Linked DNA regions of Oryctolagus cuniculus. The protein of the gene in region 1 purifies or fractionates together with the protein of each later gene. This does not show direct contact. Links are inferred from orthologs where the notes say so. Each region holds a gene or a part of one and is shown on either strand. Other genes may lie near its edges. The genes, in order: SLC7A11, OTUD5 and CD44.

Region 1 (3,653 bases):
AGTCTCCCACTTGGCTGGCACAAGCTCAATTACTTGAGCTATCACCATTGCTTTCTAGGGTCTGCTTTACCAGGAAGCTAGAGTTAGAGCTGGGGTTGGAAATTAAACCAGATACTCTGATATGAGGTGTTGGCATCATAACTACTAGGCTAAGTGCAAGCTTTTGCTTTGCACTTTTTAAAAGCCAGGGTCAATAGATAGATTTTTACATCCTGTTTTCAACTTTGTTTTTCATCTATGCAAAGTGATTATAGAGCTTGAAATCTTTAAATGAAAATCCTATTCCCCTAGAACTCAATTCAAATCTAGAGCAACCATCCTGGAGTTACAGCAAAGCATACATAGGTGTAGGCATTGATTTTGTGACAATAAATTCTGAGGTACTTAAGAGTTTTTCCAATAACATTTTGTATGAGAGATTCTTGGTCCCTCCTATGGGAGCTTAACTCTATTGGAGAGTAGGCGTGTAGTGTGGTCTTACAGTCTGTCTTTTATTTGTTTTCTTTTCTTTATTTATTTTTTAAAGACAACCTGTTTTTCTTTTTAAAATTTATTTATTTATTTGGAAGGTAGAGTTACAGAGAGGCAGAGACAGAGAGAGACAGATCTTCTATCTGCTGGCTCATTCTCCAAATGGCCACAATGGCCAGAGCTGGGCCTATCCAAAGCCAGGAGACAAGAGATTCTTCCCCATCTTCTGCATGAGTGCAGGAGCCCAAGGACTTGGGCAGACTTCTGCTGCTTTCCAAGATCATTAGCAAGGAGCTGGATTGGAAGTGGAGCAGTCAGGACTTGAACCGGCACCCATATGGGATGCCGCTAATACAGGCTGTGGCCTTACCTGCTATACAACAGTGTCTGCCCCTCATTTGTTTTCTTTTTCTTTTTAAAGATTTATTTATCTACTTATTTATTTATTTGAAAGGCAGAGTTAGAGAAAAAGAGAAATCTTCCATCCACTGATTCATTCCCCAGACCACCCAAAAGACTCAGGCCATCTTCCACTATTTTTCCAGACCATAGAAGAGAGCTGGATCAGAAGTGGAGCAGCTGGGACTTGAACCATGCCCATATGGGATGAGGCCACTACAGGCATTGGCTTTACCTGCTATGCCACAGCACTGGCCACCCCACCCCCCCTTTTAAGATTTATTTAGTTATTTGAAGGGCAGAGGCAAAGAGAGAGAAGAAGGGAAAGAGTAAGAGAGAGAACATTTGTTTGCTACTTAAAAATTATTTCCAGGTGATTCTTGCATAGTGCTATGTTCAGGGATAAAGTGCTACTAAGATTTCACTGCATCTTCAAAATTTACTTTTGTTGAATAGCTGTACCAAAAGCATAACTGATTAGTAGCATTTTTCCATCTTTTGTTTCTGATGAAACTTGGGCAAAAGTTGTATGTTACATTTGAGTGTTTAGCAGTATAGATAAAACTTTTCAAATAATATTATTTTTCATTTTCTCATAATTGCTCAAGTTAATAGATATATAGATATAGCTGTATCTCCTGCTGTCACATATATGCATACAACTCCCCTGTGAAGTGAAAATTGAGGTCCATCTCATAGGAGATGAAACTGAGGTTCTGAGAGGTTATATTTCATGCCCAATTCCATGTGACTTGCATTCCTAAATGTTAACATTTCTGTTTATAAGTAATTTTACCTAGTGTTCTTAAATATAAACTGTAACATCCCTTTTTAATTTTAAAAGTATGTTCTTTCAACCACCCAGAATATATACTTCACAAACATCCAAATAACCTTTTCTAGCAACAAAAAATGGAATCAAAATTCATTTCAATCACAGAATATATATCCTACAAATGAAATGGAGTCTCGCAGGTCATAGGATCCATATTTTCCTGGAGAGCAGCCAAAAATTTACTTATTTTCACTTGCTATGGAAGTATCATTTGTTAAAGGATTCTCAATATAATAAGGTCAGGTTGGGACAATTATTTATTTTGGTATGAAGTTCTGTTCTTCACGAAACAAGTCACTATGATGGGTATCCACCTTCTAGTTTTCCCTTGCTCAACTCAAAATTCTGAAACCTATGGTACTATTTTAGAAGTTTGTCCTTACCATTTTAAGTAAAATTATATTGTTCAAATACAGTGAACTAGAGCTCCAAGAGAGGAATTTGGAAGAGGAACTTGGTAGGTTTCAGCAAGTACATGGCGGTTATTTGTCTTGAAATAAGGACGCCATTCACCCCAAGGAAATAGTTACAACTCAGGCAACATAAACATTGCTTGAGTGATTCTTCTGCTGGGTGGCTTGATAATATATTAAATTTGTACCTTTTTATTATAAATATTTCACAGGAGCCTTGTCCTATGCTGAACTGGGAACAAGTATAAAGAAATCTGGTGGCCATTACACTTATATTCTGGAAGTCTTTGGTCCATTGCTAGCTTTTGTACGAGTCTGGGTTGAACTGCTCATAATACGGTAAGAACATAGAAAAATATTAAGAAAAAAGAAACCTATGTGTATGTCATTCTTCTGAGTCACCTTGGTTATTTTTACTAGTTAGAAATATGCATCTCTTGTGACTGTGTTGTAAACATGTAAACTTTAGGATATAAAGTCTGTGATAAATACCTTTCTGAATTAACATTTTAAAACATATTTGTCACTGGCAACAGTTCACTAAAAATGCCACACTTTTAAGGTAATGCTTTTTATTAATCTTGAATTATTTTCCGTGACATTTCTAGGAAAGATGCTTACTTGCAAGGATATGTAGCATCAAAGTTCACCTTGATAAATCGTACCTTTTGACTGACTGACAAAGTTCAGCATGCTGACTTGGAGATTTTGTTTGAATTACAGGGTATATCATTTGGTCATTTAGCTATTCAATTTCGTGACTAAGAAATTTCTATGCCTAATAACAACTTGGTGTGTCACCAAGACCTGCACTTTACAAAACATTAAGTTTACATCCCATAAATGACTCACTTCCTCACCTTAAGCAAATCAATGAGCTGCAGTTGCGAAAATCTTTTTTGTTATTGTTTTAAGAATGTGTTCCTCTTCCTGATTGTCTTGGCAACAAATAGTGCTAAGTCACGCTGAATAGCAAATTGCTTTCAACTTTGTGGGGGAACTTATGACATCATATGAGCAGTGTACTGGGTTACATGGCCCAAAGGCTAACTACATCCATCCAAAGTGACAGAATTCAGTAGAAATAAGTGGAGAACTAGTGGTATAGGTAAACTTATCAGACCTCCAAGGAGATTCACAAGGTTCATGGAAAAATGGAATTAAAACATAATGCATATTTTCCATGAAACTTTTGAATACTCCTTTTATAAAGCTGCACACTCTAATGAGCTTATATTCTGTTATTTATGGTAAGTGGCAAATGCAGAACTATTAAGTTTATCCATTAATACTCATCATGAATTTTATGGTGTTAGATGTCTCCTTTTTTATATATCAAAGAACTTCAGAGTAGTATACAACTCATTGTTAAGACTCTTCTAATTTTGAACAATTCTGCATTATTTAAAACTTATTATATTGAAATAATGATAAAGGAGAATTTTGTTCTTTTTCTAATATCCATCATCCTGGGATGTACTTCTACTTGTTTTGAATTATTTCTTACATATTCCCCAAAGGTCAACTTTAATCCT
Region 2 (3,653 bases), on another chromosome or scaffold:
AAAGACAGCCCAAGTCTAGGCACTACATTTGGGGCTTTCCTCACGCTGAGGAAGTGCAACAAGAATGAGGAAGGAGTTAATATGCATTTCTGGTAGCATTCTGGCTGACTGGTGGGCAGCTAGCAATATGAAGGAGTTACCGGCCCAGAGGTGTTAAAGGCCCTGTTCGATACCATGCAGAGATGACAGAGCCTTTCTGCCTGCCAGGCAAAGGGGTCAATGACAGGGAAATGGGGCTCTACCCCCAGCTTTAGCTCTGTCCCACAGTCTCCCTTCTTCCCATTGTCCTATGTCTGCTCCCAGGCCTGGAAATGGTAACCCCTTCCATAGCAGATACATTTTCACCCAACACCTCAGCCTGCCTCCCTGAGCCTGGTAGGCCAACCCCTACTTAACCCCTTGAGTTCCATTTTAGTCTCTGTTTACTGCAACTGCTTACAGCGCTGTCACCTGCACTACCTCCGGACACCCCGGGCACCCAAGGCTCCGCTCACAGAAATAGCTCCTCAAGCAGCTCCGGCAGTCACAGCAGGCTGTGCGGTCCTGGCTTCTAAGAAAGGCAGCAGCAGGGGGCCCCCAACCTGTATGCAGGACATGTGACTTGCTGGAAGTGCCACTGGGGGTGGGGCCGAGAAGAGTGTGGCCACAGAACCCACATCCTTGTTTACATCTGTGAAGGGGCTACCCCCTTCCCGCCTTTGCAGCTCCTACCTCCCTCCCTCAGGTCTCTCTTCACCTCCAGGAGGAATTGAGAGGGACGTCATCCCATTTTCTGTCTGGGAGCAACCTTCTTTTTTTTTTTTTTTTTTTTTTTTTTTTTTTTGACAGGCAGAGTGGACAGTGAGAGAGAGAGACAGAGAGAAAGGTCTTCCTTTGCCCTTGGTTCACCCTCCAATGGCCGCCGCGGCCGGCACGCTGCGGCCGGCGCACCGCGCTGATCCGATGGCAGGAGCCAGGAGCCAGGTGCTTTTCCTGGTCTCCCATGGGGTGCAGGGCCCAAGCACCTGGGCCATCCTCCACTGCACTCCCTGGCCACAGCAGAGGGCTGGCCTGGAAGAGGGGCAACCGGGACAGAATCCGGTGCCCCGACCGGGACTAGAACCTGGTGTGCCGGCGCCGCTAGGCGGAGGATTAGCCTAGTGAGCCGCGGCGCCGGCCCCCTTCTTTTTCTTTTTAATTTGTTTATTTGAAACACAGAATTAGAGAAGAAGAGACAGATCTTCCATCCACTGGTTCACTCCCCAACTGGCTACAATGGCCAGGGCTGGTACAGGCTGAAGCCAGGAGCCAGAAGCTTTGGGTCTTCCACATGGGTGCAAAGACCCAGGTGCATTAGCAGGGAGCTGGTTCAGAACTGGAGCAACCAGGACTCAAACCAGCATTCATATGGGATGCTGGTGTTGCCAGCAGTGGCAGCTTAACCTGCTGAGCTGCCACACTGGCCCCTCAGAGCAACCTTTCTCCTTATCTCACAGAACCCTCCAAGGAGGGAAGGGGAGGGCAGCAAGTGAGTTCCAACAGTTCTTCTGAGGTACACTGATGCTCATGGAAGAACTCTGGGTGTTTCCTGTGTGACCAGACCCTACCTACCCCAGGGCCCTAGGAGATCCTTTCAGTGCACTGGTCCCCAGGGGAAACAGGGACATTCCCTCTTTGTCTCAGCCAGTGGAAATATGGCTTGCCTGATATTTTTTTAAAGATTTATTTAAAAGAGTTACACAGAGGGAGAAGGAGAGGCAGAGAGAGAGGTCTTTCATCCACTGGTTCACTCCCCAATTGGCTGCAATGGCCAGAACTGTGCTGATCCGAAGCCAGGAGCCAAGAGCTTCTTCTGGGTCTCCCACACAGGTGCAGGGGTCCACAGACTTGGCCCATCTTCTGCTTTCCTAGGCCATAGCAGAGAGCTGGATTGGAGGTGGAGCAGCTGGGACTTGAACTGGCGCCCATATGGGATGCCAACATTGCAGGCAGCAGCTTTACCCACTACACCACAATACCGGCCCCTTGCCTGATCTTTAAGCCCACTTTAATTTCCCAGAGAGAAGAGCTCCCTGGCTGCCTCTGCCTATCCATATGCCTGGCAAACTTTCTCTGATTTCCTTTACTGAGCTGGGGGAGGACTTAGGTATGAACTGCCTTCTCCCTTTAGTGGGGACCTGGTGTGATCCAGTAGAAGTGTGTGCCCATGTTGGATCAGTGTGACACGGGTGCCCAGGAAGGTAGGGAACTGTGTCACACAACAGGTTGGAGTTTGAGGAGCAGGCAGTGGGGAGGATGGAAGAGCATCATGAAGAGGGGAATGGCATGGGTGAAGATCCTCAAGTGAGGCAGAGGGCGCCTGGTTCCTGCTCGCCTCCACTTGACTGAATCCCGTGATGCCTGAATCTTTTGGGCCACGAGCTGCCCATGAATTAAACTGAAGTTAGGTGCCTGTGTGCTTTTCTCACTTACTAGACTGTGTGCTCCTTGAAGGCAGGAGCAGGAGTTTAGTTACCTTCACAGTACCCCACTTTGAATCCTCACTATGGAGAGGGGACTCATACCACTGAGTGACTTCTCTGTGCCAAGCTCAGTGCTCATCATTTTATACTATTACTCATTGAGTCTCCACAAGAGGCTTGCTAGGCATCGCCTATCTTGTTGCCATTTTACAGATAAGGCATACGGGGCTCAGAATACTTGGGTCATGTAGCTCACTGGCATTTGCTAGAACTGAACATAGAGCTCAGTTTCTTTTCTTCTTTTTTAAACCTACAAAAGCGATGCTGACTCTTGGACATCAGGCATCTGAAACTGAATTCCAGAATTGATGTCTGTCACAGGCTCCACACAGCCCTTGCAGTCTGTTCACATGTGGAAAGAGAGAGGCTGTGGAATGGATAGTGCTCAAGGCCATTGTGGAACTTGGAATGTTGGTGACTTGTCCGAGTGGCCATGCATGTCCTAGTCAACTGCTCGAGTAGCCTGTGATCATGTCCCTCTCAGCTGCACTCTTGTTCAAGATTGTCCCTGCCTGTCCCTTTTTCCACGACCCCAAACTAGGCCACAAGGGCAAGAGCTGTCCTGACCTTGGAGTAGGAGAGTGTTTCCCTGGTCCCCTGGCTCCCCTCCCCTGAAGATGTTCTGTGAGTCAGAAGTCCTTTCTAGTGGTAGCTCTCACCCTCGCGCCTCCTTCTGTCCCCACAGCTGACCAGGTGTATGGAGACCAGGACATGCATGAGGTTGTACGAAAGCACTGCATGGACTATCTGGTGAGATCTTGGGCAGGCCTTGGGTCAGGCAGCGGGGGAGGATCTCTCCTCTCCACACAGACCTTGACCTTCCAATCTGTTCTGCAGATGAAGAATGCCGACTACTTTTCCAATTATGTCACAGAGGACTTCACCACCTACATCAACCGCAAGCGGAAAAACAACTGCCATGGCAACCACATTGAGATGCAGGCCATGGCAGAGATGTATAACCGTCCCGTGGAGGTGTACCAATACAGCACAGGTACTTCTGTGGTAGGGAGGGGGGACTAGTGGCACCTCATGCAAGCCTGCCATGTCTGGCCCTCTGGATGCTCCCTCCTTCTTTTGCCCTGTAGAACCTATCAACACATTCCATGGGATCCATCAAAATGAGGATGAGCCCATCCGGGTCAGCTACCA
Region 3 (3,653 bases), on another chromosome or scaffold:
TGGCCAAATTACCTGGTAAGGAGCGATCAACATCAGGGTTGGAATCCCCAACAACAGCAACTTCAGTCATTCCAAAGGCCCCAGTCCTAGTAGGGGTCACTGGGATGAGGGTCCTATTTTCCTTTGTTTCTGGGTAGTGAGGAGTATAACCTTGCAGGGAAGTAGTTGAGTCAGCAGGGAGATTTTCACCTCTTCTTCCTCCTCTGCCATGAGTCCTATCTGTGTAGAGGTGGAGTCCATGATAAACCCACATTTCTAAGATCACCACCCACTGTGTGCTTGTCTTCAGAATGTGCAATTGCTGCGAAAATTTGCCATGTGTTACCCATGAGCAATGAGCCAAAGAGGGAATTTTGTCACACTATTGAACAAAATCAATATTTTGCAATACATGCCACCTGGACATCACTCAACAGAAGAGTCTAGTTAGTGATCTAATACCCAGATGAGGTATTCATTACAACATCTACCTGGGTTATTAAGGTAAGGCTTATGCTACTACAACTGTGACCTTGAAGGCAACTCAGGCACTAGATAATCTTGAGCTCTTTTTCCATTGGATCCACCTTTGATGAGGTAGAAGAAACACACCATTGGACTGAAAAGTAAAATGGCATTGCCTGCAATTGGAATAACAAGTGCAAAGTTTCAAAGACCTGAGTTTGTTAATTCAATTATTCTTTGCCAGAAAGGCACTGCTTCTTTGTCACCAGTACCATGGAGCTATGGTCCAGAGGACAAATGGCAAAATAATGTTATTAATGCAAGGAATACAGAGAGTGAGATAGTCAGACTTCTACACCAATTATAAATCATACATAAACAATCCATTATTTTAAAACCAAGGCGTCCACTAAAAAGCTTAGGAAACCCAATCTTTAAGATTAAGAACTAAGTTTGCGTTTAAAGTATAATGGCTTCTAAGAGGTCTATAAAGCAGAAAAATCAGAGAACCATAACCACACGCACCTATTGCTCAAAAGTAACAGCGTAACAGCAGTCAATGGACGCACCACCACCAAAGACACTGCAAAGCACCCATAATTTGTTGATTTTCATCAATTGCCCAAGCTAATTGGGCTTTTTCATCCTTACTTCTGGATGTCAGAGAAGTTGTTGGATGGTCTTTATCTTCTTCCAAGCCTCCATGTAATGTCGAGAAGCTCTGGAGAGGGCTCTGCTCTGTTTTGATGAGGGATGAATCCAGCATTAATTTAGAGCTATGATACATATCCTGTTGTCTGATAATGAGGAGGATCAAGCTATATCAGTGGCAAAGAGATAGTTGCATAGAAAAGCCATTATGGGTGCACATTCTCGCTGGATTGACATAAATATACAGAAGAATTCTATCTTGCCCCTAGTTGATCCCTTTGTTTCCCAATATAAGCAATGAAGGTTAAGAGCCAAGGTGAAGTTTGAGCCAGAACTTTGCCCACCCTGGTTCACCCTGGCCCAATTGTAGTATTGTTCCCAGTCGCTCAGGAAAACCAGAGAATACAGAGACCTAGAAAAAGGGAATGCTTGAGTCCCAGTGCTCCTATCAACAAGTACTTAACTGGGGGGCAAGCACTGCGGTGTAGCAGGTAAAGCCACCGCCTACAGTGCCGGCATCCCATATGGGTACAAGTTTGAGTCCTGCCTGCTCCACTTCCAATCTAACTGTCTGCTATGGCCTGTGAAAGCAGTAGAGGATGGCCCAAGGACTCGCTTGGGAGACCCAGAAGAAGCTCCTGGCTCCTGGCTTCGGACTGGTGCAGCTCCAGCCATTGTGGCCATCTGGGGAGTGAACCAGCGGATGGAAGACCTCTCTCTCTCTCTCTCTCTCTGCCTCTCCTTCTTTCTCTGTGTAACTCTGACTTTCAAGTAAATAAAAATCTTTAAAAAAAAAAAAAAGAGTACTTAACTGGGGCCAGCACTGTGGCATGGCAGGTAAAGCTGCCACCTGAAACACGGTATCCCATATGGGTGCCAATTCAAGTCCCAGCTGCTCCACTTCTGATCCAGATCCCTGCTAGTGGCCTGGGAAAAGCAGTGGAAGATTGACTAAGTGCTTGTACCCCTGACACACACATAGGAGACCTAGATCAAGCTCTTGGTCCCTGACTTTGGCCTGGTCTAGCCCTGGTCATTGTGGCCATCTGGGAAGTGAATGTGTGGATGGAAGATCTCTCTCTCTCTCTCTCTCTGTCTCTGTCTCTCTCTATCTCTCTCTGTGTGTGTGTCCCTCTCTCTGACTTTTAAATAAAAATAAATTAATTTAAAAAAGAGTACTTAACTGTGTGTCAAGAAGTGTGACATAAGGAAAATAAATACTCTGATAGCCCATAGTATACCTGTAACCCCACAAAAGAGACGTTTATCCAGTATAGCCTGCTCCAGTAACTCAGATCAAATTTATTTATTTATTTATTTATTTTGACAGGCAGAGTGGACAGTGAGAGAGAGAGACAGAGAGAAAGGTCTTCCTTTGCCGTTGGTTCACCCTCCAATGGCCGCCGTGGCCGGTGCGCTGCGGCCGGCGCACCGCGCTGATCCTATGGCAGGAGCCAGGTGCTTCTCCTGGTCTCCCATGCAGGTGCAGGGCCCAAGCACTTGGGCCATCCTCCACTGCACTCCCGGGCCATAGCAGAGAGCTGGCCTGGAAGAGGGGCAACCGGGACAGAATCTGGTGCCCCGACCAGGACTAGAACCCAGAGTGCCGGCGCCGCAGGCGGAGGATTAGCCTAGTGAGCCGTGGCACCGGCCACTCAGATCAAATTTATACAAGGAAATATTTAACTCTTTTCAGAAGACAATTAAAATAACCATTTTACTCTATTTGTAGGTGTTTTTTTTTTTTTTTAATTTCATCTGTGGATGGGATTCCTATCATTGCATGAAGGAAACGCTTGCCTGGGCAAACACAAGGCTCCCAGTGACATTGATCAATTTGAAGTTGAACCATAGCCCATCTCCAAAATCACTTTGGCTGTTTTGAGTTCATTTCCCTTGTATTCTTCTAAGAAGGGTACTGACCTCTGAGTTGCAGGTGCAAGCAATCCATAAAGCAATCACTTAAGTCATGTCCACCACCAAATAAATAACATAACCAGGACAGAAACATTCACCAAATTCCAAACCCCAGCCTCAGTATAGAAGTCAACAGAGATAGAATAGAAACCTGAGTCCTTCATTGGCAGGGGCCATTCACAATTATTTGTATCTGCTTTTAAGCTTAATGCTGTGCTGTGTACATCACTGACAATCAACACATTTCACTTGCATAAGGGCTAATACAAAGGACTCTACTCGTGTGTAGCAAGCAGTGAAATGACATCTTCTTAATTTTGGATTTCATTCAAATTCTTCCAAGAAATTATGAGTGATTTTGGGCAAGTTGCTAGTATATCCATGTACATATGGTAGAAATTAAGGCTACTAGAAGTTTAACACTGCTCCCTTCTGGAAATTTAGCAATAGAGATGTTAGTAACAGTTCCTTTTTTGCTCCAAGGACCTTGCCACCTTAGTCAATTGTCAACAACATGACTTCTCTGTAGACTGATGGTATTTCCCTATTCTCTGTGATTATATGGCTCCAAAAATGTCTTTTTCACAACCATCAAAGCAATCCTATCCTTGTCCTGCCTTAAGTGGAGAGAAAAAAGGAAA

The links.
Region 2: the proteins of SLC7A11 (region 1) and OTUD5 purify together in Homo sapiens (affinity purification with western blotting; 3 studies listed by BioGRID, with this or other methods). This does not show direct contact. The link is inferred for Oryctolagus cuniculus from reciprocal best matches to the Homo sapiens genes SLC7A11 and OTUD5.
Region 3: the proteins of SLC7A11 (region 1) and CD44 purify together in Homo sapiens (affinity purification with western blotting; 3 studies listed by BioGRID and IntAct, with this or other methods). This does not show direct contact. The link is inferred for Oryctolagus cuniculus from reciprocal best matches to the Homo sapiens genes SLC7A11 and CD44.

Annotation. Positions count from the first base shown.
Region 1 is NC_091439.1:26,522,589-26,526,241, forward strand, and holds part of SLC7A11 (cystine/glutamate transporter), read left to right. Parts: intron 1-2,330; coding exon 2,331-2,457; intron 2,458-3,653. UniProt on the Homo sapiens protein: Heterodimer with SLC3A2, that functions as an antiporter by mediating the exchange of extracellular anionic L-cystine and intracellular L-glutamate across the cellular plasma membrane.
Region 2 is NC_091453.1:34,106,545-34,110,197, reverse strand, and holds part of OTUD5 (OTU domain-containing protein 5), read left to right. Parts: intron 1-3,186; coding exon 3,187-3,251; intron 3,252-3,338; coding exon 3,339-3,495; intron 3,496-3,589; coding exon 3,590-3,653. UniProt on the Homo sapiens protein: Deubiquitinating enzyme that functions as a negative regulator of the innate immune system. Has peptidase activity towards 'Lys-48'- and 'Lys-63'-linked polyubiquitin chains. Can also cleave 'Lys-11'-linked ubiquitin chains (in vitro).
Region 3 is NC_091432.1:30,782,350-30,786,002, forward strand, and holds part of CD44 (CD44 antigen), read right to left. Parts: intron 1,183-3,653; coding exon 1,096-1,182; intron 220-1,095; coding exon 13-219; intron 1-12. UniProt on the Homo sapiens protein: Cell-surface receptor that plays a role in cell-cell interactions, cell adhesion and migration, helping them to sense and respond to changes in the tissue microenvironment.